Notamacropus eugenii: one gene and its partners. The protein of the gene in region 1 purifies or fractionates together with the protein of each later gene. This does not show direct contact. Links are inferred from orthologs where the notes say so. Each region holds a gene or a part of one and is shown in the gene's direction. Other genes may lie near its edges. The genes, in order: ARPC1A, ARPC2 and ARPC3.

Evidence for each region.
Region 2: the proteins of ARPC1A (region 1) and ARPC2 purify together in Homo sapiens (affinity purification with mass spectrometry; 8 studies listed by BioGRID and IntAct, counting the BioPlex papers as one, with this or other methods). This does not show direct contact. The link is inferred for Notamacropus eugenii from reciprocal best matches to the Homo sapiens genes ARPC1A and ARPC2.
Region 3: the proteins of ARPC1A (region 1) and ARPC3 purify together in Homo sapiens (affinity purification with mass spectrometry; 8 studies listed by BioGRID and IntAct, counting the BioPlex papers as one, with this or other methods). This does not show direct contact. The link is inferred for Notamacropus eugenii from reciprocal best matches to the Homo sapiens genes ARPC1A and ARPC3.

Annotation. Positions count from the first base shown.
Region 1 is NC_092874.1:379,957,429-379,965,464, reverse strand, and holds the start of ARPC1A (actin-related protein 2/3 complex subunit 1A), read left to right. Parts: upstream 1-4,941; 5' UTR 4,942-5,116; intron 5,117-8,036. UniProt on the Homo sapiens protein: Probably functions as a component of the Arp2/3 complex which is involved in regulation of actin polymerization and together with an activating nucleation-promoting factor (NPF) mediates the formation of branched actin networks.
Region 2 is NC_092877.1:316,739,418-316,746,741, forward strand, and holds the start of ARPC2 (actin-related protein 2/3 complex subunit 2), read left to right. Parts: upstream 1-4,300; 5' UTR 4,301-4,650; coding exon 4,651-4,724; intron 4,725-5,005; exon of another isoform or gene 5,006-5,094; intron 5,095-7,324. UniProt on the Homo sapiens protein: Actin-binding component of the Arp2/3 complex, a multiprotein complex that mediates actin polymerization upon stimulation by nucleation-promoting factor (NPF).
Region 3 is NC_092875.1:35,944,499-35,951,937, forward strand, and holds the start of ARPC3 (actin-related protein 2/3 complex subunit 3), read left to right. Parts: upstream 1-4,348; 5' UTR 4,349-4,660; coding exon 4,661-4,666; intron 4,667-7,191; coding exon 7,192-7,291; intron 7,292-7,439. Other genes in the region: GPN3 (GPN-loop GTPase 3), read left to right, coding at 437-499. UniProt on the Homo sapiens protein: Component of the Arp2/3 complex, a multiprotein complex that mediates actin polymerization upon stimulation by nucleation-promoting factor (NPF).

The DNA of each region.
Region 1 (8,036 bases):
GCATACGTGCATACATATATGTGAGTGAAAACCTGGGCTTCCCTGGGCATGTCTACTTCTCCCAACATGAAGATGACCTTTTGAGCGTGCCCAGTTTGCCTAATATGGAGGCCTTTCCATCCTTTACCATGTGAGTGGGGGTAGTCTACTTTGAATGGCTGCCTATGATGAGACTGATGAGACTGAATATTAGCTCTCTTTTCAGTGTCTCTAGAGGGTGAAGATCCTAGCTCACCCACAGCAAACCAGAAATGGACCGGGGGTTGTGTGTTTCTGTTCTGCCTTGCTTGTCCTCCTGAAATTTAGTTGTTGCAGGTAATCCACACGGAACCTCGGAGTTCAAGCTTTGGTCACCTTAGAGCCAGGACTGCAGTCAAGATGGTTTAGCCTGCATAAAAGTCCTAGGGCACAAACCAGAGAGGGGTTTTGGATTTAGAACTGGGACTGTGCTGTATAAGACCTGAGCTAAACTATAAATCTAATCCCTTTCCTCTCCCCAGTGACTGAGATGGTATAAAGGGGTATAGGGGATTATGCCTCCCACACATTGGGGGAGGAAGTTTGTATATTTGTGATTATACCTTTTCAAGGCAAATCTTCCTATGTAAAAGCTAATTTACTGTCAGTGGATAAATGGAACTGGGATGCTGGGGACCACTCCCCTATAATTGAGGGAACAACATCAGAAAGGGTTGGAATCATTTGCAGAGAGCCTAGATACCCTCCCACCCCCAATCTCCTTAAGGGTATGGGAAAACCTGGGGGAGAAGTGAAATGTAATTTACCTGGTCTTCAGGCAGTGGGGACCAGGTGGTATGTTATCTGTCTCCATCTTTCTACCTCTCTTTCTCTCTTCCCCCCTTCTCTCTCTTTCTCACACACAATCACATACACACAGTATGTATGTATATACACACACATATATGTGTGCATATATAAGGTGCAATGTTTTTTATCTCTCTAGTGTGTGTATATGTATATGTGTGTGTATGTCATGCTACATTTACTATATACCATGAAGTATGTATGTCATATAGTACATATACTATGTACATACTGCATGTGTATATACATATACTATGTATACAGTACATATACAATATATACTTAGTATATATAGATGTGTATGTGTGTATATTATACATCCATATGCTGCATTTTTTGTGTCTCACTGTAATACAAATACAATACTCGTAGCCGCTGCTATGAATATGCATGTGTATTTCAAGGGTAAATTCACAAAATATAATAAACTCTCTTCCTCAAAGGCAAAACCAAAATATTTATTTGGGACATCATTAGAATACCAGGAGGTAAGATTTAACAGGGTGCTTATCACTAATCCAGGAAGCTCAGACATCTTAAACCTTCTTTCTGTCAGGCCTCCCCACAAAAACAAGTTCCCCTAGACAAATTCCTCCCTCTGCCCACTCATCACTTGCTTCTGTCTTTCTGCTCCTTGGGTCAACTGCTCCATTCAGCTTGTTTCTCTCTCTCTGCTCTGCCTGATCTTTGTCTCTGCTCATTCTCCTCTCTCTCTCTCTCTCTCTCTCTCTCTCTCTCTTTCTCTCTCTCTCTCTCTCTGTTTCTATCCACTCAGGCAAGCTCCTCCCAGTCTGAGCTTGATGTGACCCAGACCTACTGTGCACACAGTAGGGCTCCATGTGTTAGGCTTATTAATGGGCAAGGAAATTCTTCCTATTCTATTAACATTACACTCACATACACATATACGTACATATACATTAAAAATCCACATAAACAAAAACTCTTGGTAGAGGAAGGGTTCTCAATTATTTTTAAGAGTATATGGGACAGCCAGGTGGTGAAGTGCCCTGGAATCAAATCAGGATCAAGATGGCTTTGGAGTCAGGAGGACCTGAGTTAAAATCTGACCTTAGATACTTACTAGCTATGTGATCCTGGGCAAGTCACTTAACCCCAACTGCCTCAAAAAAAAAAAAAAAAAGAGAGAGAGTTTAAAGGGAACATGAGACCAAAAAGTTTGAGAACCACTAGTGAAGTGCAAAAAACCATCAAACTTAGTCTGGGAACCTAAATTCAATACTTGGCTCAGCCACTCGCTACCTGTGTGATCTTTGGGCAATCACTTCCTTCTTGGGTCTCAGTCTCTTTATTTGTAAAGAAGGCTGTACTAGTCAATCTCTAAATAATTTCCCAGTCTGTATTCTATTTAATTTCCCCTATATATACTCAATACTTCAGTTATCAGGACTGATGAATAAAATAAATATCGGGTAAGGAAGAGTGATCCAAAGTATTCTAGGAAAATATCATAGAATGCCAGAATTTGACTCATTTGATCCTCACAACAACCTTGTGAGGGGAAGTACTATTATTATCCCTAAATTAGAAGATGACACTTAGATTTGCCCAGCATCTGAAGCTAAGGTTTAAGGCAAGATTTGAATCCAGGTCTTTTTGACTCCAAGTCCCAGGCTGTACCACCTAGTGGCTCCAAACCAGTGGTCATCTTGCCTCTGTTTGAAAATCTCTAGGGAAGGGGAACCAATTACTTTATAAGGCAGCCCATCTAATTGCTAGCAAGATTTTCCCAAGGTCCAACCTGTATTGTCCTCTTTTCACTACCAACTACTGCTTCTGGTCTGGTCCTCTAGGGCCAAACTGAAAAGTCTACCCTCTTAGCCATGACAGCTTTTCAAATACTTAAAAATAGCTACCATGACCTCACTGAGTCTTTTTCTCCAGGACATACATCTTCAGATCCTTTACAGACTCAAAACCCTTCACCATCCTAAATGCTCTCCAGTTGATCAATATCCTTTTTAAGCTTCTGTTGCTCAGAACACAGTAGTCCAGATGAGGAAATATACAGAGAGAGTATCATCTCCTTATTCCCGGAGGCTGTGTCTCTCTTAATACAGTTCAAAACTGCTTTAGCTGTCCACACTGGTGAAGCATGTGGAATTTGTGGTTCCTTAAAACCGACAGGGCAGCTAGGTGGCGCCATAGGGCCTGGAGTCAGGAAGACTCATCTTCGGAGTTCAAGTCTATCCTCACAACAGCTGTGTAATCCTGGGCAAGTCACTTAACTCTGTTTGTCTCAGTATCCTCATCTGTCAAATGAGCTGGAGAACTGCTAGACCTATTTGTAAAAAAAAAAATATTTATAGCAAATGTTTTTCATTGTGGCTAAGAATTGGAAACCAAGTTATGCCCATCAAATAGGGGAATGGTTAAACAAGCTGTGGCATGTGGGTGTAATGGAATATTATTATGCTGTAAGAAATGACAAGTAGGATAGTTTCAGAAAAACCTGGAAAGACTTACATGAACTGATGCTGAGTGACATGAGCAGAACCAGAACACTGTACACAGTAACAGCTACGTACAGTGTAGGAGGACTGTTTCTGGTAGACCCAGCCCTTCACAGCAATGCAAGGAACTAAAACATTCCCAAAGGACTTGAGGCAAAATGCCATCCACATACAGAGAAAGAACTATGGAACTGAAACGCAGAATGAAGTAGAATATTTTCTCTTGTGTTATGTTTGTTTTGGTTTGTTTTTTCTCATGGTTTCTCCCATTTATTTTAATTCTTCTAGGCAACATGACTAATGTGAAAATGTATTTAATAAGAATGTATGTGTAGAACCCATATAAGATTGCATGCCAACTCAGGAAGGGAGGGGGAAGGGAAGGCAAGAAAATGTAAGATTTATGAAAGTGATTGTAGAAAACTGAAAACAAATTAATTCTAAAAAAAGAAAAAGAAAAACTGGGAGTGATTTAGCTATTTTCAGCTATACAATGATCCAAGACAATTCCAAAGGACTAATGATAAAGCATACTATCTGTCTCCAGAGAAAGAACTGATATTAACTGAATAAAGACTAAAATATGCTATTTTTCAATTTTTCTTTCATTTTTTTCTTTTATTCGAGTCTTCTTGTACAAAATCACTAATATGGAAGCGTTTTACATAATTGCATATGTATAACCTAAAAAAAAAAAATTAGCTGGAGAAGGATATGGCAAACCACTCCAGTATTTTTGCTACAAAAATCCCAAATGGGGTCACACCAAGAGTGGGACATGACTGAACAATAATACAACCTATCTTTTTCCGACCAATTGCTCCCTAATCAAACGTCCTCCTACAACTTCCTAGGGCCTCAGTTATTTTACCTTTAAGACAGAAATAACATTTGTACCATCCACCTCATAGGGTAGTTGTGCTGGGTAAAGCACAACTTTATTATTTTTATGTATTGTGTGCAGGCGAGTTTTTTGAACCCAAAGTCTTAAGAATTTACATCTATTCCTACCAAATTCTATTTTAGTAGATTCAGCTCACTTCTCTCAGCCTGGATCTTTCTGGGTTCCGACTGGGTCAGCTGGGAGCGGGTTGGGATTCAGGGAGTTTTTGAGGAACCGAAGGTAATCCAGGTGGCTTGGATATTAAAATGCCAAAAAGATGGGTGGGACTCAGACCGGGGAGGGCCGTGAAGCTCCGGCTTAAGGAAATCTGGACTTCATGCCACTGCGATGAGCCACTAAGTGCCACGGGCAGATCTGCGCCTGGAAGGTTCCCCTGGCAGCGCTCTGAGCCTTCTCACTGTGCCCACACTGGGGCTTGGCTGGAGGAATGAATGAACCGACGGATGAATGACGGGCACGTCCGGCCCCTGAGCTTCGGGGTGTGACGGAGATGGGAGCCTCCGGCATTCCTCCCCTCCCAGCAGGAAGCCCCTCCACTTCTGCATCGCCTCCGGGAGGGGTCTACCATGAGGGAGGAGGGTCAGTGCAGCAAGCGCCGCCACTGCACATGCGCCAGGCACCGACTTTCCCAGCCCCAGCTCGATCGCCCCCCGCGCCCAGGGCCGTACACCTCCCCTCCCCCTCCCTGGACTCCCGCGATCTGCGCAGACCATCTGCGCAGCCGATCTGCGCAGCCTTGGAGGGGCGGGGAAGCCGTGCGGCGCAGGCGCCGTGCCCATTTCCGGGATCCCTGTCAGCCGCTCCCTCCCGGCCTCCGTCTTCCTCCCGCCGCCTGCCGGAGCTCATTCGCGTCGACTGACCAGAGTCCGCGAATCCTCCGCTCCGGGGCCCGCCCGCACCCTCCCCAGCCCAGGTAAGGGATGGCGATCAGCTGCTCATCTCCTCCCCTCGGCCCTTTTCCCAGCCTTCGGTTCCCCGGGACCCGGCTTAGGCCGCGGGGGGCGGGCAGACCCCGACCGCCGGCGGCTGAGGAGGTGGGGCGCCCCGGGGGTGGGGGGAGGTGGGCGGGCCGTTGTCTCTTTCCCGCCCCTCTCCCCCGGGCCTGACCCTCTGAGGCTTCGGGCGGTGAACCCCCTCTCCCTCCCCGTTCACTCTGGAGGTGTTCGCCCTGCTTGGGCTCCTGGAGCGGGTGCCCCCGAATACCCCTCCCCCCCACACCTCGTGCCCCGTTCCTCTCCCGGCATCCTCTTGGTTCTTTAGCCCCCCGGGTCCGGTGGGTCCCTATCTCCAAGCCCGAGGCCGAACCTTAGCCCCCCTCTCCCCACCTCTGCTGAGGCTGAGACTGGGCGTCGGTCGACTGGCCTCCTTCACCTGCCTCGCCCGTCCCGGGGTTGCAGGCGTGTCCTCGCTTCCTGCTGTGGGGAGAAGCCAGTGGAGAGTTACCCCCAGGGATCGGGTTCGCTTCCAGTCCCCTTCACTACCCTCACCTCGGGGCAGCCACCAGTCAGATCCTTGGGCACTTTAATTGAGCCAGTCAGAACTGAGGGACAGGGTGACCATGATCGTGATCATGCTGGCTGTTGTACCTGTGGGGTGGTAGAGACAAAAAGGAGTTTAAAAGCGTATCCCTGTTGAGACAGAGTGGGAGTTCCATCCGGTCTCTGTCATTGTGGGGGGCCAACGATATTGAAACACCTGTACCTAGATGGGTCAGAGAGAGCATTTAGACTAAGGATGAATCAGTTATAAGCCAGCCGGAGAGCTGAAATATTTTTCCCAAACTGAATTATCCCAGAACTGTAGACGTTAAGGATTATTACATTTTTAGATAGGAAAGCAAATGAGGTTAAAAGCTCCTGTCCTGGGCATTCTATTGAGAGGTGATGTATAGAAATCTGTGTTTCAAAATATCTTTTTTAGATCTGTTGCATGAGTATATGATAAATTCTGCTAATAGACATTAAGTATCTACTCCATATGAGGGGCTGGGGATACAAAGAAAAGTTATCCTCCAGGACTTTGTATTTTACTGTTTTGATACAGCAGGTACACAGATAAACAAATTCAAGGGAAATGAGGGGTCAGGGAAGACTTCATAGAAGAGGTGGTACCTAATTTGAGTCTTGAAGCAAAACACATTTTAAAGTAGAGTTGAGGAGGGAGTCCATTCTAGGCATCAGATTTTACAAATATTGTTTCATATTTCCATATCTGAATGACACTTTTCTTAAAGCAAACTGTATATATAAGAAAAAGAATTTTTATTTCGACCTACTTATATTCTTTCACCAACTAAAGAAGCATATTGTACGATCTGGGATCATAGATTTAGAGCAAGAATGTTCCTCAGAAATTCTCTAGTCTGAACTGCTGGTTTTACTGATGAAGAAACAGACTCAGAGAGGTAAAGTTTATTGATAAATTTTACAAAGGCCTTGAAGGTTTCTTCTTGAGTGCAGTGACCATACCTTATAATTCTTTGGTTCTGTGTTGGCATCTGGACTGTTTCTTCCTCTGCATCCCACACATCAAGGTCAAGGAGTTGGTATGGAAATATCAAAACCCATCTATATATAATTTAGTGGGTAGCTCTTAGAAAGTTGCCTGAAGCTTAGGCAAATTAGATGATATTAAAGCTAGAAGTCCTCCAACTTCAAGTCCAGCATTCTTTGGACTGTTTTACACTGCCTTATAGCAGGTGCTTAATGAATGTGGGTTGAATTTTTTGTTGAAATTTTTATGATGCTTGGTTTAGAGCTGATGTTGAGTAAGTGGTTGTTGAATTGAGTAGGCTCTCCTTTGTTCTTCCCAATTTTCTTCTCCCCTGCCATTTTCTTAGAGAAATATGGAGAAAAATGAGTTTTAAAATCAGGCGAGGGTGACTGTAATTCAGAAATTATAGCTTGGGAGCTGAGGACTGCACAAAGGCAGTGTGCTGGTTTGTTGGGTGCCCCCGCAGAGATAGCATTTGAGGATAAAGTTCTGGGTGTGGAATCAGGGAGTCCTGGGTTTGAGTCCCCATTCAGATATCTATTAGTTGTATGACTAGCTTCTCTGAGCCTCATTTTCCTCATCTGTAAAACAAGCAGTTTGAACTCAGTGGCCTGGGAAGTCCTTTCCAGCTCTAAATCTAAGATCTGTGTGATGAATGTCAGTTAATAATAAAAATAAAAGCTATAAATGGTGCTTTTCAGCATAATTACTATCTTGGGTGGTGGCTAGTATAAATATTATCCTCCTCCTAAAGCTGGGATAACTGAGACCCAAGGATGTTGTTACTCAAAAGCTCAAGTTTGAACCCAGGTTTCTGATTTAAGGGTCCTGTGCTCTTTGCAGCGTAATATTCACCTATAGAGATTGTCAGATATGGGAATTTTCTTGGTCTGCAGTCTTAAAATGAAGTACCAGGCATGAAAGTGTGTCCAGATTTGGAACTTGGGTAATGTGGCTCAATTAGAAATTAACTTAAAATTATGCCATTATTTGAATTTTACTTCTTTGGAAAATTACTGTAGCCTGGTTACACAAATAAGTCAAAGTTTTTGTCTTTGCAACTGTTGTTTATGACCATACGTGAAATATACACTTTTTATTATTGGCATGCACTTTAAAATACTAAATTTCAGTCTTATTTATAATCTTTATATGTCAGCTATTATTTCTCCCATTGAACATAAGCTTCTTGGGTGCAGGGAATATTTTGTTTTATGTCTTTGTATCCCAGGTTCCTGGAACATTGCCTTGTGCCTAGTAGGCGTTCAATAAATGTTTGTTGAATTGAATTTCAGTTAACAAATAAAACTGAAAATTATTGCTCTCCACTGAGAAACAGT
Region 2 (7,324 bases), on another chromosome or scaffold:
GGAGGCTGATATTTAAAACATGAAACACCTTTGCAACTGCTGAATAGGTATTTCACTCAGATGTATATTGCTTGGCCAGTTCACTCAAGGTGCAAATCTTCTTTTTAGCCTGACATGCATGACTCATCCTTCCGTTGGTGATCCTCTCCTCCAAGAAAGGTATAGCAAATTCCTCTGGGCAACCAGTGCATAGATCTATCAGTGATTCCAGACCTCTTAAGCCCACAAGACAGCTGCCAAAGATGGGAACATCCAACTCTCAGTATCACTGCTTGGTCACCTGGGATCAGGAAAAGAAACAAAGCAGAAGAGGCAGTCAGAGACTTGAGATCCAGTCCTAGGCTCACCCAATCAAGTATATAATCTTGCAGCCATGTTGGTGCAGTCTCCATAGCTGCTGCTAGAGAGGAAGGAGAGACACAAACACACTCAAGCTGTCAGTCTCAATCCACACATTCCCCAAGAATGGAAGAGAGACAGACAGAGAATGAGACACACACACACACACACACACACACACACACACACACGTCTACTGGTTCCCTTTTAAAGTCCAGCACAGAAGGGGAATACCTCCCAGGAGCCCATTATTATTGGGTTTTGCCCAAGTCATAGACTTAATCAGATGTCTGGAGGCTTCTCAAAAAGGTGCCAACTGGCATGTCTGTACCCTCTATAGAATCAGTCAGAAGTTTAGAACAAAAGCTCAATCCCAATAAACTCATCAAGTTGATTCCAGAGGGCCAAGACTAACCCCTACATTTGTAAAATGGGGATAATAAAACCTGTACTACCTACTACCTTTGTTGTTGTGAGAAGTTTCTTGTAAACATTAAAACGTAAATATGAGCAATTATTATTATTCCTAAGTGAGAAGTACTGACTGAATAGCCTGAGGAAAGAGTAGAAAGTCAATCCTGATGACTGGATACTTTGGCCCAGATAACGTAAGTATTCCTGAAGTCCCTAACTCTACCCCACACATTGCCTAACACATAGTAGACATTCAATCATTGTCTGGTGATTTATTTTCATGTAAGCACTCTGGATCTCTGGGTTTCTGCTTTCTCCTCTGTAAAATGATGAGAATGGACTGGACACTTTGGTCCCAGCAGTTACGGTAACCTAAAGTCTCCTTTAGCCATTCTTCATAAGCTCTTGGAGTTTCACTACCTCAGCTATAGAACTTTATTATCAGTTTACAATTGCAAACTCCTTGAGGGCAGAATTAGCTGCATTCCAGAATTCCTTATTACATAAATATTTGTGGAATGAACTCAATGTCTTCAGGCAAGAGGCGTTAAGAGGAGTTGGAATAGGTAGGACAAAATGAGACACAGAGGCTACCGGCAGATTTAACTAGAATTTTGTTTATATTTATATAGCACTCCATTTTACACACAGTGAAACAGGATTTAGCACAAGTTCACAAAGCACACACAAGATTTGAATCCACCAATTCTTCTGAATCCAAGTCTATTACATCAAGCTGATTTGTTCCATGTCACAGAAGCAAAAAGTGGTCTAGCTAGCACATTATGGTGCCTAGGTCTTTTTACTCCAAGTCCAAGTTTCTCCCTACTTCAGGAGTGTCCTTTCTGGGACTGTTTTCACATCTGGAAAACTTGAAGGGTTAAATGATCTCTGAGTTCCTTCCAGCTGTATGCTTCTCTCTAGGGGAGTGGATGCATAACCCACCCATTCAGAATAATTCATTTGACATTTATGATACATTTCTCTACAAAGCACCACACATTTCTGATAAGAGTAGCTGACATAGTTTTTAAAGCATACAGAATACTTAACATGTATTACATTTGATCATGCCATCTGTAAAATCAGCAAAGAGGTATTATTATCCCCTTTAAAATGAGAAAACTGAGGCTCAGAGATATTGAGTCAATTAATAAACCTTTATTAAGCATTTGCTGGGCTTAATTCTCGCTGATACAAAAACAAACAGTCCCTGTGGTCCAAGAGTTTGCATTCTATCAGAGGAGACAACATGCATTGTATAAGTATATACAAGACATATGTAAGGCACATGAGGTAACTAACCTAAGGCACTAGAAGTTAAGGGCACCAGGAAAAGTCTCCTGAAAATGGCACCTGAACTGAGTTTTGAAGGGTGTGCCAAAAGGCAGAGATGAAGAATAGTCTAGGTATGGGGGACAATCAATACAAAAGCAAGGAGACAGAAGGTGGGACAAGCAGAGAGGAAGGGACCATAGTGTGTGTGGAAGGGAATAATATCTAGGAAAACTGGAAAAGCAGGAAGGGGTCCAGTTGAAAAGAGCTTTAAGTCAAACTAAATTCACATTTGATCCACTGGAGTTTGAATGTGTATGGGGGGGAGGGGTGTTACATGATCATATCTGTGGTTTGGAAAAATTCCTATGGTGGCAGATGAAGGACTAAAGTGGGAGGGGCTTGAGGCAAGGAGCTCAGCTAGGTCCATAGTCAAGAACCTAGTAACCCAGTTATGCTTCTAATACACCATAATGTTTCCTTCCATGTCTCTTTACATATATATACGTTCCTTATATATTATGTTCCCTTAATGTTTTGATACACGAAAAGTCTCCCCTGTCTTGTCACAATCAACTGCACATGGTAAGCCAAAATCACAGGATTTCAGGCTGGAAGAAGTCTTAAGGGAACATCTAATCCTATTCCCTTGAAGTCCCTGTGAGGCTGTGCAGGACCAGAATGCAGGCCTTTGTTTCTGCATCCAGTACTTTTCCCAATCCTCTTTCTGGTCATTCCTTGGTCCCTTCCCTCAAGGATCTCATAGACCTAGCAGAAGTATAAGACTCAAGTTCAGGATACCTTACACAGCACATCCTATATGATGCAATTCTAATACAGGGACTTTCTGCAAAAGGTGGAAAATGTGTCATGAGGTCTAGGAAGAGAATCAAGGAAGACTCCCTGCGCACTCTGATACCTTTTGGTAAAAAAAAAAAAAAAAAAGGCATTAGCAGGCTGTGACTTCTGAAGAAGGCATTAGATACTAATTAATACTAAATCCTTAATACTAAAGACTAGTAATCCCTTCATTTTATCTATCCCCCACCCACCCACCCATCCATCCATCCATTCATCCATCCATCCATCCACTTCCCCCACCCTCCCACCCATCCACCCAACCATTCACCCACCCATCCATACACCCACCCCCCCATCCATCCCATCCATCCATCCACCCCTCCACCCCCCCATCCATCCCATCCATCCATCCACCCCCCCCATCCATCCCATCCATCCATCCACCCACCCATCCATCCATTCATCCACCCATCCATGCACCTACCATCCACCCATCCATCTATCCATCCATCCACCCATCCATCCATCCACCCACCCATCCACCCCCCCATCCCCCCATCCATCCATCCACCCACCCATCCATCCCCCCATCCATCCATCCATCCCCCCATCCCCCCATCCACCCCCCCATCCCCCCACCCATCCATCCATCCATCTTTGTACACAAAGAGAGGGGGAGAGAGAGAAGGAAGCCACGTAGGGCGGGGGCCAGGGCACCCGAACTCCAGTTAGGAAGACCCAAGTTAAAATCTAGGCCCGTGTGACCCTGGGAAAATCAGCTCTCACGCTGCGCTCGCCTCAGTTTCCCCATCTGTAAAACGGGGATGATCCCAGCAGCTGCCACCGGGGATCAGAGGATATTTGTGAAGCTCCCGGGGCGCAGTAAGCGAGCTTTTCCTGTGAAGAGGAAGAGAGGCCTATTTGTATTAGAGACCGCGTTTTACACGCCTCTCGCTGGAAGCCGGCGGCGGCCAGCCCAGGGTCAGGGAAGGCTGGAGCTCGGCTCTCTCTTCCAGCCTCCAGGCCGGGAGATCGGGGCGCTGGTCACCCGGCGGCCTGGCCGGAGGGGAGGCCCAAGGTCCGCCGCGGCACGGGGCCGCTCCGGCTCTTCCCGCATGGGTTCCCCGGGCCGGCGGGCGGCTAAGCCGCCGCCCCGGAAGAAGGAACCGGAGAGCGCGCGGAGGCGGCGCTCCGCAATGACAGTTGGAAGGGCGGGGGCGGCCCCGAGGCACGGTGGGAAAGTGGAGGCGTGCGTGCGTGCGTGCGCGCCTCCGAGCAGGCCGCGGAGGGTGGTGCTGGCGGGCGTGGCCCGCGCGCGCCAGGCTTGGGCGTAGCGGGGCGGAGACCAGCCGGCTCGAGCCACCGGTGCGTGCACCCGCCCGCTCCCGGAGGCTGGCAGAGAGCGGGGGGGGGGGGGGGGGGGGGGGGGGGGCGGAGGGGATGGGGGGAAGAAGAGCGGAAATAGAGCCACGGGGGCGCGCGCCGCGGCGGCGAGCGGAAGTGGGTGTGAGAGCGGAAGTGTCCGGCTAGAGCCGGGGCTGGGCGGGGACCGGGGGCGCTCGGTGAGACGGCGGCAGCGGCAGCGGCACCGGCGGCTGCTCGGCGGGCGGGTGCGGGCCAGGTCGCCGAGGCGGGAGGACAGGGGAGAAGGGCCGGAGCCGCTGCGCGTGTGTGGAGGCGTGCACCCTGCCCCCTCCCCCCTAGCCCCGCTCCCTCTCCCTACCTCCCGGGTCGGGGGGCAGCCTCGCTGCTCCCTCCTCCCCCCCTCACCCGCCCTTTCTCCTTCCCCGGCCCGGGGCAGCCCCCTCAGCCGCTGCCGCCATGATCCTGCTGGAGGTGAACAACCGCATCATCGAGGAGACGCTCGCGCTCAAGTTCGAGAACGCGGCCGCCGGGTGGGTGAGCGCGCCGGGGGGGCCCCGGGGTCGGGAAGCCCCGCCGGGAGGGGCGGGAGGCGCGCCGGGTGCGGTGGGGGAGGGGGAGCAGCGACCCCGTCCCGGTTCTGGGGGAGGGGTTGCGGGAGGACCCGGGGGACCCCCAGCGCTCCCTCCCGGGGCAGCCCTGCCGCCGGCTCCACTTTGCCGTGGGCAGGCAAACCTGCCGCTGCCGCCCACCCGCACGCCCCGCACGCCCCCGGCCTTGTCTCTCTCTGAGGTTCTGCCCCTTCCCCCCCCAGCGCCTTCGTCTGGTGATGTCTCTCCTTAGAGCCTGCTAGACCCCGGCCCGCCCGGCCTACACTCTCCCCCGCTCTGGTCACGTTACTAGGTGACATTCCTCCCCTTTGGACCTTTTAAAGTGGGGCTTGTCCTGTAGGCGTCTGGTAAACGTGGGGTGGATAGCATCTCTCCAAGGCAGGCACTTCTGAGAAGCCGCCGATGGCAGGAAGCTACCCCCCCCCCCCCACGAGAGAAATCAGGTTGCTCTTAATATTTAGAGCATCTGGCCAGGGAATTGGGTTCTAATCCTGTGTGACCTGTAGCATCTGTCTTTGCGGACCTGTGTCCTCGGCTGTGCGACTCGTTATCTGTTTTATGGAGGAAAAAATGGGCAAAGAAATCCCCTTAGGGACTTAAGGACTAAAAATGTCAGGTTTGAGATTCACGGAAGAAATGCAGTCGGGAGATAGAAGCAGTTTAAAATAAGCTAATTCGAGAAGGAATGAAAAGAAGTATTTTCAACCCCTTGTTTCAGTCTAGTATACTATGCACGGTAGTTTGTCCATACAGCGAGCCCGTATGTTTTATCGTTATAAAGCACAGCATCTATTTTGTGGTTGTTGAAGTGATACATAAAATGAATATATGTGCCTCTGAAGGAAATTCTTCGGTTTAATTATCAGATGGTTAGTTTCATGCCTTCAGTTTTCCCTTATAAGCCGGTTTTGCATTTAAAAGTTGTAAGCGAATCAGCTCCAGTTCTTATTTGGGTGACTGTTGTACCTTGAGCAGTCTAGCATATAGAAGGAAGTTGAATTAACTTCTGCATTTTTACAGCTGATCTTAATGCCATCAGGTCTTGACAGGCTTGAAGCTGAAGCAGGTTGGTTATGTGTAGATGTGTGTGATGTGTGTGTGTGTTCGTTCAAGCAGGGGCATGTCTTGTGGTGAAGGAATGCATTTACTTCTAATTACGTTTTAATTTATGATTGAACCATTCCATTATTCAGATTTTAGCTTTTTATTTTTCTCTTAAAACTACTGCTACAAATGGCAGGTGGTTGTTTCAGAGGGACCAAAACAAATTGGGAATACATTAAGTAGGTAACTAAGCATTGATCACAAAGATGAGGTGTAGCACAACATAAGTTGACTTTTATTGAGCAATATGACTTAGGACAAATGGGGTGTGGAAGGCAGCCAGGATCAAAACTGGTAAGATTCTGCTGAAATGTTTAGTGAAAATGATGGAAAAAATGATGGATAAAAAAGAAGTGTATCCTCAGGCCTCCTAGGATATAGGTTCTCTGAGATTGCCAAGGCAAGCACCTCCCAAATAGCACCTCAGACCTACTGTGCATTACCAGACATACTAGTGGAGTGAGATGACATGAAACAGTAGAGTGGTTACTCTGACTTACGTCTTACCAGAACTTCCAGCAAAGACTGCCGCCTATAATTGCCATAAACGTTTATATTGTTCTAGCAGTGCTTTTAACCACAGGCAGGACAGAAAAGAGACATGTTGTGGGGAAAGAACTCCTAGACAAAATTACAAGAGTTTGGAAGGATGGTCTTTTGAAGTGCAAGGTCAGAGAAAAACACCTAGAAAACTACAGGTTGGGATTCTTCTTACTGTTTATGGGGAACTCCTGATTCATAGCCCTTTCCAAAGTGTGAATCTTGTATTTGGACTATTTAAACACAAGAAACACCAGAAGAACTCTTAGAAATTCTTATTCAAAATTCAGTTATCCTAATTTTCCCTTTTTGTGAATCATTTTTCAGGTCACCCAGTGCTTATTATAATGATCTCAGAAAATATCTGAATTCTCATCTCTTAGAGCACTGTTATCACACAGTTTAAATGAACACATTTGAGTAGTAGAAATTTTTTAATTTGGAGGTCATGCAAATAAAGCCCAACATTCACTCCAACCAATTTACCTTTCATTATTATTAATTTTGTGGATATTGGCATATTAGAGGCAACCAAATTTCTTCCCCAAATAGCACACTTTTATCTGTAAGTGGTCATCTTCTTGATAGCCTTTAAACTAAGATGACATGACTGGCTAGAAAGTTACAGCCAAATTATTGTGAATATCCATGAAAATTAGCATAGATTTTTTCATCGCCTTTCCCTCTACTATTCTGGATGTTGGGTAAATGGCATTTTTCAGGTCATATCTTCCCATCCTATCAAGCAGGATTGCCCTACTTTTGGAGAGCATCCTTTGCATGCAGGAAGGGCTTCCAACCCAAGTAGAGATTACACAGCAAATATTTGTCTATTCATCGTTATATATACCATGAGAATCTTTTAAGACTGAAAAGTC
Region 3 (7,439 bases), on another chromosome or scaffold:
GTTCTCAAAGCTCTACTTCCTCAAATAGGAAAAGGAGATGAACAAAATTGTGATGAGGAAATTACCTTTAACTTCCTCCTATCCTGCTCCTGTTTATGTAAATCACGAGCAGACTAGCTGGAGAAGACTAAAAAGGCCTTTGTCTCCTGTCTGTCTCTCTGGCCTCTCTTGCGTCTACGCTGGAATCCCATACCTAGTAGACTTTTCCAGGTGATTTGGCACTTCTAGGATCTGTGCGTGGGCCCTCTCTACAAGGAACTATGTCTGTCTCAATAGCTGGTCTTTGTCAGTTGCTTTGGCTCCAAAACACTGAATATTTGCCAGATATTAGCTGATTATTAATCGTTACCTGAAATGTCCACCTACAAGTGCCACTGTTGGCACGTTTAAGACATTTAAGAAAAAGTAATTAAACTTTCTCTTTCTTTGTTGAAAGGAATCTGAAGAAGAAAAATCATCCATGTTGGATGATTATTTTCAAGACCGTGGGGATGAATGAAGATATTTAATTTTTCCAGTGTTTATTAAAGCATGAAGAACTTTGTGGGCAGAATCTTATAAAGACTCATGTTTAGCCTCAGGGAGAAGTGGATGGAGAATTCATCTTTCCAAAGCAGAAAGAGTATGGCTAATCCACAATCTGAACATTGCCACTTCTCCTTTCCCCCAGCCTGGCCAAAGAAAAAGAATAGTTTGGAAAATCTCCATTGGCAAATGTTTCCAAATGAAGTCCCAAGTTCTCTAGGGTGTATAGTACTTGTTAAGGGAAGACAAATTCTGGGCTACAGACAAACCCTTGGTGCTGCTGTTTGTTACTTCCATTTTGGGGGAAGGATAGTTTGCATTGTGGTGTACAAGTGGCACAGAGGGAGATATCAGCTTGACTTCAAGAAAGAAAGACTTCCTGACAGCTCGAGCTAACCCCAGATGGCATAGGGCTCCTTGGGAGGTGGCAGTCTGCAGGGCTTCCCCCAAAGGCAGGTCATGAGTGTGATAGAGAGGATTTTTTTTACTGGTTCAGGTTGGGCCAGATGGCCTGAGGGTTCTCCTCCCTCAGAGATTCTTTCCTGTGGTTTCGTTATTGGAAAAATGATTCTGTTCCCCTCTCTCAGAATGGACTGCTTAGAAATTACTTTTATAATAAAAAATAAAATGTTATGTCTGAATTGTCCGTAGCCCTTTCATATTCCAAATTATATTTGGAAGTCCCTCCGCCCTGCCTTTTTGGGCCAGACTTAAGTACCCTGTGCCATTTTCAAATTGACAACTGTGTGTAACTTAACCATGTTAATGAATTTCCTTAGAGGTTAAATGGCTTTCCCAGGGTCACACAGCCACCAAGTGACAGAGGCAGTGTTGGAAGCCAGGTCTTTCTGACTTCTCTGCCCCATGTCATGCTACCTCATCCAAATTCCTACCAAGGGCAGTTTTTGGTATTAGGGATGAACTTGACACACACAAAAGCTATCAAGAAAAATTTATTAAAAACGGAATTCAGAGGAGGGAAGACCTTCTGCGTGCCTTCCCCCGAAGGAAAGGGTAGCTTCCAGCATGGCCGCTGGAAGGACGACGACCAGGTCAGAATGAGGCAGGACACTTATAGAATTCTGAACTTAGTGAAGAAAGTTGAAATGTAGTGATTCCAAAACAATGAAGAATCATCGTCTTGAGGTGGGCCAAGTAAAACATGGCGGACATTGCAGAACATCTAAAAAACTATTTTGATTTTGCTGTTTCATCTCTTTTTTAGACTTCCTTAATCTGGCCAGGCTATCAACTACTCTGGGTCAGGTGTTGTGCTATCCAAGTAAAAACCAGTCCCTGCCCTCAGGGAGCTCACTGGCCAAAGGCTGGCATTCAGGCATGCTGCCCCTTGTAACTTTGTAAGTGGCAGGTCATGTGAAGGAACCTGAAAAATGGATCATTTTGCCCAAGGTCTCTCAGATCTGAGGCCCAAACCCAGGTTCTCTGGCTACAAATCCCATATTCTGTGGCACACTTGCTGCCCCCTGAATTCATAGGCTGGAAATGCAAAGCCTCTCCTAAAATTCCTGCTGAGCCTTTTTCCTGACCTAAGCGTAATGTCTATTAGGCTCATGGTGATAATTGATTTTTGAGTTGCAAGGTGCCTTCAGGGGTCATATAGAGGGCACCTTACCTCATCCACCCATTTTACTATGAGGAGACAAGCCCAGAATGATGGAGTGAATTCAAAGAATTGAATTTCACAATTGGAGAGGACCTTAGTGGCCAATCAACCTTGTCCCAGGTCACATCAGTTGTGCTGGGATCATAAAATTAGAGCCCAGAGGGATATTCATGGCCATGACTTGCCCCGGATTTCACATTTTGGGCAGTATTTGTGTACCTCCCAGAGATCTTTGGGGAGCAGATAGCAATATCTGGAGTCTTCAGTAACATCCTAAGGAGAAAAAATAGATGGTCTGCAGCTTTCTTCTGTGCCCAAGTTACAAGGCAGGGGAGACTGTAGATATTTAAGGACGAGACTATTTTTTCCCTTTTTAAATGCTCTTGTTGCTTAAATGAACACCCACTAGGTAGCCAAATTTAATTTGCATGTTGTTATTCAGTTGTTTCAACTGTGTCTGGTTCGTCATGACCCCATTTGGGGTTTTCTTGGCAAAGATACTGGAGTTGTTTGCCATTTCCTGCTCCAGTTGAGTTTACAGATGAAGAAACTGAGGCTAAATGACTTGCCCAGGGTTACACAGCTAGTAAGTGTCTGAAGCTAAATTTTGAACTCAGGGCTTCCTGGCTCCAGGTCTGGTGCTCTTTCCACTGCTTCATATCCTTATATAATAATATCCTACGTATTTTGTGTCATTCAGATTTTAGGTTTTCTCAGTACCCAAGATAGCATGTTACCTAAATATTTTATCTAACACATTTCAATGATCTATAGTCTCATCAGTCCAGTGACTGGGGCAGTTGTTGGGGCAAAAAGAAAAACCCAGAACACCTAGCTGCCAAGCCAGTGGTGAGTCTCTTGATAACCCTTGAAAATGTACTTAGAGACCATTCCCAGGACCATAATCAAAACCACCCCAGCTTGACAAGGACCTACCAGAGCTTGAGGTCCCCTGGCATAACCTTGAGAGGGTCTTTAGAGGTCACCAAGTCCATTTTCCAGATGAGGAATTGAGTCCAAAGGAGGTAAAATGAATTGCAGAAGGTCACAAAGCTAGTAAGTGAGGTAGCTCTCAAACCCAATTTGGCTTCCCACTAGACTAGGCTGAGACATCAGAGGAGGGTCTTGGGATGATTTCCTCAGGATGTAATCAATGAGGCTTTGATTTTTTTCTTTAAGTCACAAGTCCTAGATTTTTTTCTTCTTATCTGGAATTTTGTTGATGTCAAACTAGTAAAAAAAAAAAAATACAATCCTCTTTGACTTTATCCCAAGGTAATATAATGACCAGTCTATGTCTGGGAGTGTCATGAACCCCTTTGGCAGTATAATGAAACATATAGACACCTCAGAATAATGATTTTAAATAATAGAACATACAATAATACTGAAATATGGTTTTCATAATATTACATAAGTTCACAAACCCCAGGTTAATAACCCCCTGGTCTATTGCATTAAAAGGTTACAGATTTTGACAATTTAGTTTAAATTGCATATTAAACATATTTTTGTTGTGTGTGAATATGAAGTGTTTTGGTTTTTTTCCCTGCTGTCAAGATGCATTGTGCATTTTAAAATAAGCTGAAAAATGCACACCTAGGTTCTGGCTCTTGTGAGTTGAGGACAATTATTAGGATAGTGATTTGGGGGTGAGGCACCCCCACCTCCAAAAATCATGATGAACTGTGGGATGAGATGGGTGGGCCCCTCCCTCCTCATCTGATTTTCCCAATCCTTTCATTTCTTCCATGGCTCTTCCCTCATCCAGCCACATAGAAGCACACTCTTTCCACCCATTTTCCTATGGCCTTTTATCTTGACCTCTTTTCTGCTTCCCAAGACCCCCAAGTGCAGTTTTTAGACTTTTATTCTTTTAAAATATATGTAACTTCTCATTATAAAAATGTTCATATATTGTATTTCTTTATACTCCAGCTGCACTAAGAAATGAAGCCCCAAATACTAAGAAACTTGTGTTCTCCAGCGATGATTTTCTTCAAATAAGAAAATAAAACGCGCATTTTACAGATGAAAAAACTGAGGCCCAGAGGGGTTGGCTAACTGACTTTTGCCCGGGGTCACCCATTCCCTAAGAGGCAGGATTCGAACCCACACCTTCGTTTTCCCCAAGGCCAGCACCACGTGGGGCCAATTTCTTTAAAACAGGGGATGCTTGTGCTCGCCCCGCCCCGCCCCGCCCCGCCCCGCCCCGCCCCGCCCACGGCGTTGTGGTGCGCAGCCTCAGAAGCCACTGCAAGGAGCTCCAAGCCCTGGGCGGGGGGGCCTTCGCGCATGCGCACGGGCAGGCGAGCTCGGCGCCGCAGCTCTAGTTCTTTGGCTCCCTCTAGTGTTCCCGGCGGCCACACCGGAAGCGCGACCTCCTCCCGCCTCTGTCTCTTCCGGATCGCTTCCGGTTAGACCCCACCCGGCCGCTAGACCGGAAGTATCGGGGTCTCTGACAGGAACCAGAATCTTCTGCTCGCCCGAAGCCCAGGCCCGGCCGCCAAGATGCCGGTGAGGCGCGGGGAGAGGCTGAGGCCTTAGAGGGCCCCGGGGGCGGGAGCGACCCCGAGGAGTGCGAGGGGGCCGGCGGAGGAGGCCAGGGTGGGGGTCCGGCCTTGGGGGAGGGAGGCCGGTCTGGTGTGCGGGGGAGGACCTGGCAGCAAAGACCTCTGCGAGGTGGGGAAACTGAGGCACGGGAGCCCCCGAGGCCTTCCTCGTAGGGTAGCCGGCCTGGAGTTGGGGCGAGGAGATCGCCGCCCGGAGCTACCAGGAAACGGAGGCCTCGGAGGGGAGAGCGCGGTGGGTGTGGGATGGAGGCCTGGAACCCCAGCAGCCCCGCCCTTTTATTTGACAGGCGGGGACACTGAGGCCCGGCGAGGGCGGAGGGCCTCATTGGTGGGGGCTTGGAGACCCCCCAGTGCGGCCGCCTCCCTTGGTGGTCACGGTCACAGGTGGATCCTTGAGCCCGGCTCCCTGCTCTGATGGGTGGGAAAACAGGGCTACGAACATTAAAGACCCTTCTGTCCTTTGGGATTAATTGTCTAACTGACTTGGGGCTGGAGCCCAAAGAACGTATATGAACATATATAAAGAACAGGTCCTTCGTGGGACACAGGGAAACTGAGGCACGGGGGAGAGAGCAGCTCCTGGTGGTGATGGAGAGTCAGGGCCAGATGGAGGGATTCTCCCCCCAACCCCTTCCTTTGACAGTTAAAGGTGCTGAGAGGTGCGAGGGTGGCTGCCTCCTCCTGCAGCCAAACCTGGGAGTCCTCGAGTCCACCTTTCTTATTTGACAGATGAGGAAACTGAGGTGCACAGAGCGGGAACTTGGACCTTAGCCGGTCCAGCTTGGCCAGTATAAGGGGGCTGGGGCTGGAGAGGCAAAAGAACTGCCTCTCCTTAATAGAAACACAGAAGAGATTTGGCCAGCCCTCCTGGGGTCAGATGTTTTCATTTCACATAGAAGCGAAGTAACTTCCCCAAAGCCTCACAGAGAGTCGGATGTGAATCAGGAACTTGGACCCAGGCCCTCTGAGAGCAGCTCCAGTGTGCCGTGGGCCCCCCAGCCCCCCTACCTCATACTCTCCCTTCTCGGCTTCTGTATGCCTTTCCTTTTCTTTCCCAGCTCCAGACTCTGGCTGGATGGCGAAGCTCCTCTCAGTGTCTTCTCTCCCTCTTTTTGTCAGATTTCCTCTCGGGCTCCTTCGCTTACCGCACCTACAGCCTCCTTGTCACTCACAGTGGCTGTGAGAGGCCTGTTCCTGAATGACATCTCCTCTTTTTGTAGTGAGTCCAGATTTCCAAAGCTCTTTCCTCCAAGGACTCCAGCACTAGGATTTATAGAGGCAGATTGTACACTTGCATTATAGACTTGCATTAGATGATTAATAGAATCTCCATCACCTCTAAATCCTAATGTCCCTATTTTACAAATGATGTTCAGAGACTCCCAGTGTTGGACTTCAGTGGCTCCCTCTGTAATCCTCCCTCCAGGGCTTTTGAGCTCTGTGATCATTAGAGTCTTTTCCAGCCCTAATAATCTTTGATCCTGTGAAGATGTTTTAACCAGGAAGTATCAGCAACTCTTTCTCTTGGGTGGGTTGTCTTTTTTTCTTCAGTAAGATGCATCATTGACCTGCATACAAAATGTCTAGACCTTTGTGTGAAGAAGATCTGGGGGTTTTATTATCAGTCACCAGGGTGATATAACAGCCCAAAAAACAAATTCTCTTTTAGGCTCTACGGGTAATAAGTAAGTCACAGTGGCTGTGACCCAAGAGAGTCTAGGTCAGCTGAGCTCTGCCCTGCACATTGAGAGCATGGTGTCTATAGTTTAGGAACAACACTGACAAGCTGGAGAGCACCCAGAATAGGGTGACGTGGGTGCCCAGGGAACCTTGTCCTTCAAGGATCAGGGGGAGGAACTGCTAGTGTTCAGCCTGGAGAAGAGCAGGAGGAGGAGGGCTGGTTTCCTTATATGTCTGAGGGACCCTCATGTAGAAGGTCTGAGATTTATTCTGTTTGGCCAAAGAGGTGGAAGTACTGAAGAGGCAGACTTTTTGTCAAGAAAATTTTTCCAACAATTAAAACTCTCCACAGGTTGAGTGGTTCCTTTCAATGGAGAGAGCTGGTGGTGCCACAGTGCCCAGAGTTCAAGGTCTAGAATCAGGAAGACCCAAATTCAAATCCTTCCTCAGACACTTTTGAACTGTGTGACTCTGGGCAAGTCACTTAACCTTTTTCTGCCTCAGTATCCCTAACAGATGAAGAAAATAATAGCACCGATCTCCCAGGATTGTTATGAGGGTCAAAGGAGATATTTGTAAAGCACTTAGCACCTTGACTGGCACACAGTAGGTGGTATATAAATGCTTGTTCCCTTCACCCCACTAGAGGTCACCATCAAAGGCTAGATGATGGAGTGCTAGACATATTTACTTGATGACTTCTGAGTCTCCTTCTCAGGATGAGATTCTATGATTCTATGGTGTTTATCTCCCTGCCCCTTTTGTATTCTTACATGACTGAAATTGCAGGCATACCACTCCTCTCTCATGGATCCCGACACCAAACTCATTGGAAACATGGCACTTTTACCCATTAGGAGTCAATTTAAAGGACCAGCTCCAAGAGAAAGTAAGTCTATATTCTTTTTCTTTCATTTTGTAAAAAGTGGTTTTGTGGAGTGAGGTATCAAGGTAACCATTCAACCCTAGGAAATTGTGAACGTGGAAAATTTTTGTCATCTTCCTCAGCTCAGGCTGCTGTTTGTACCTTCTGGTTG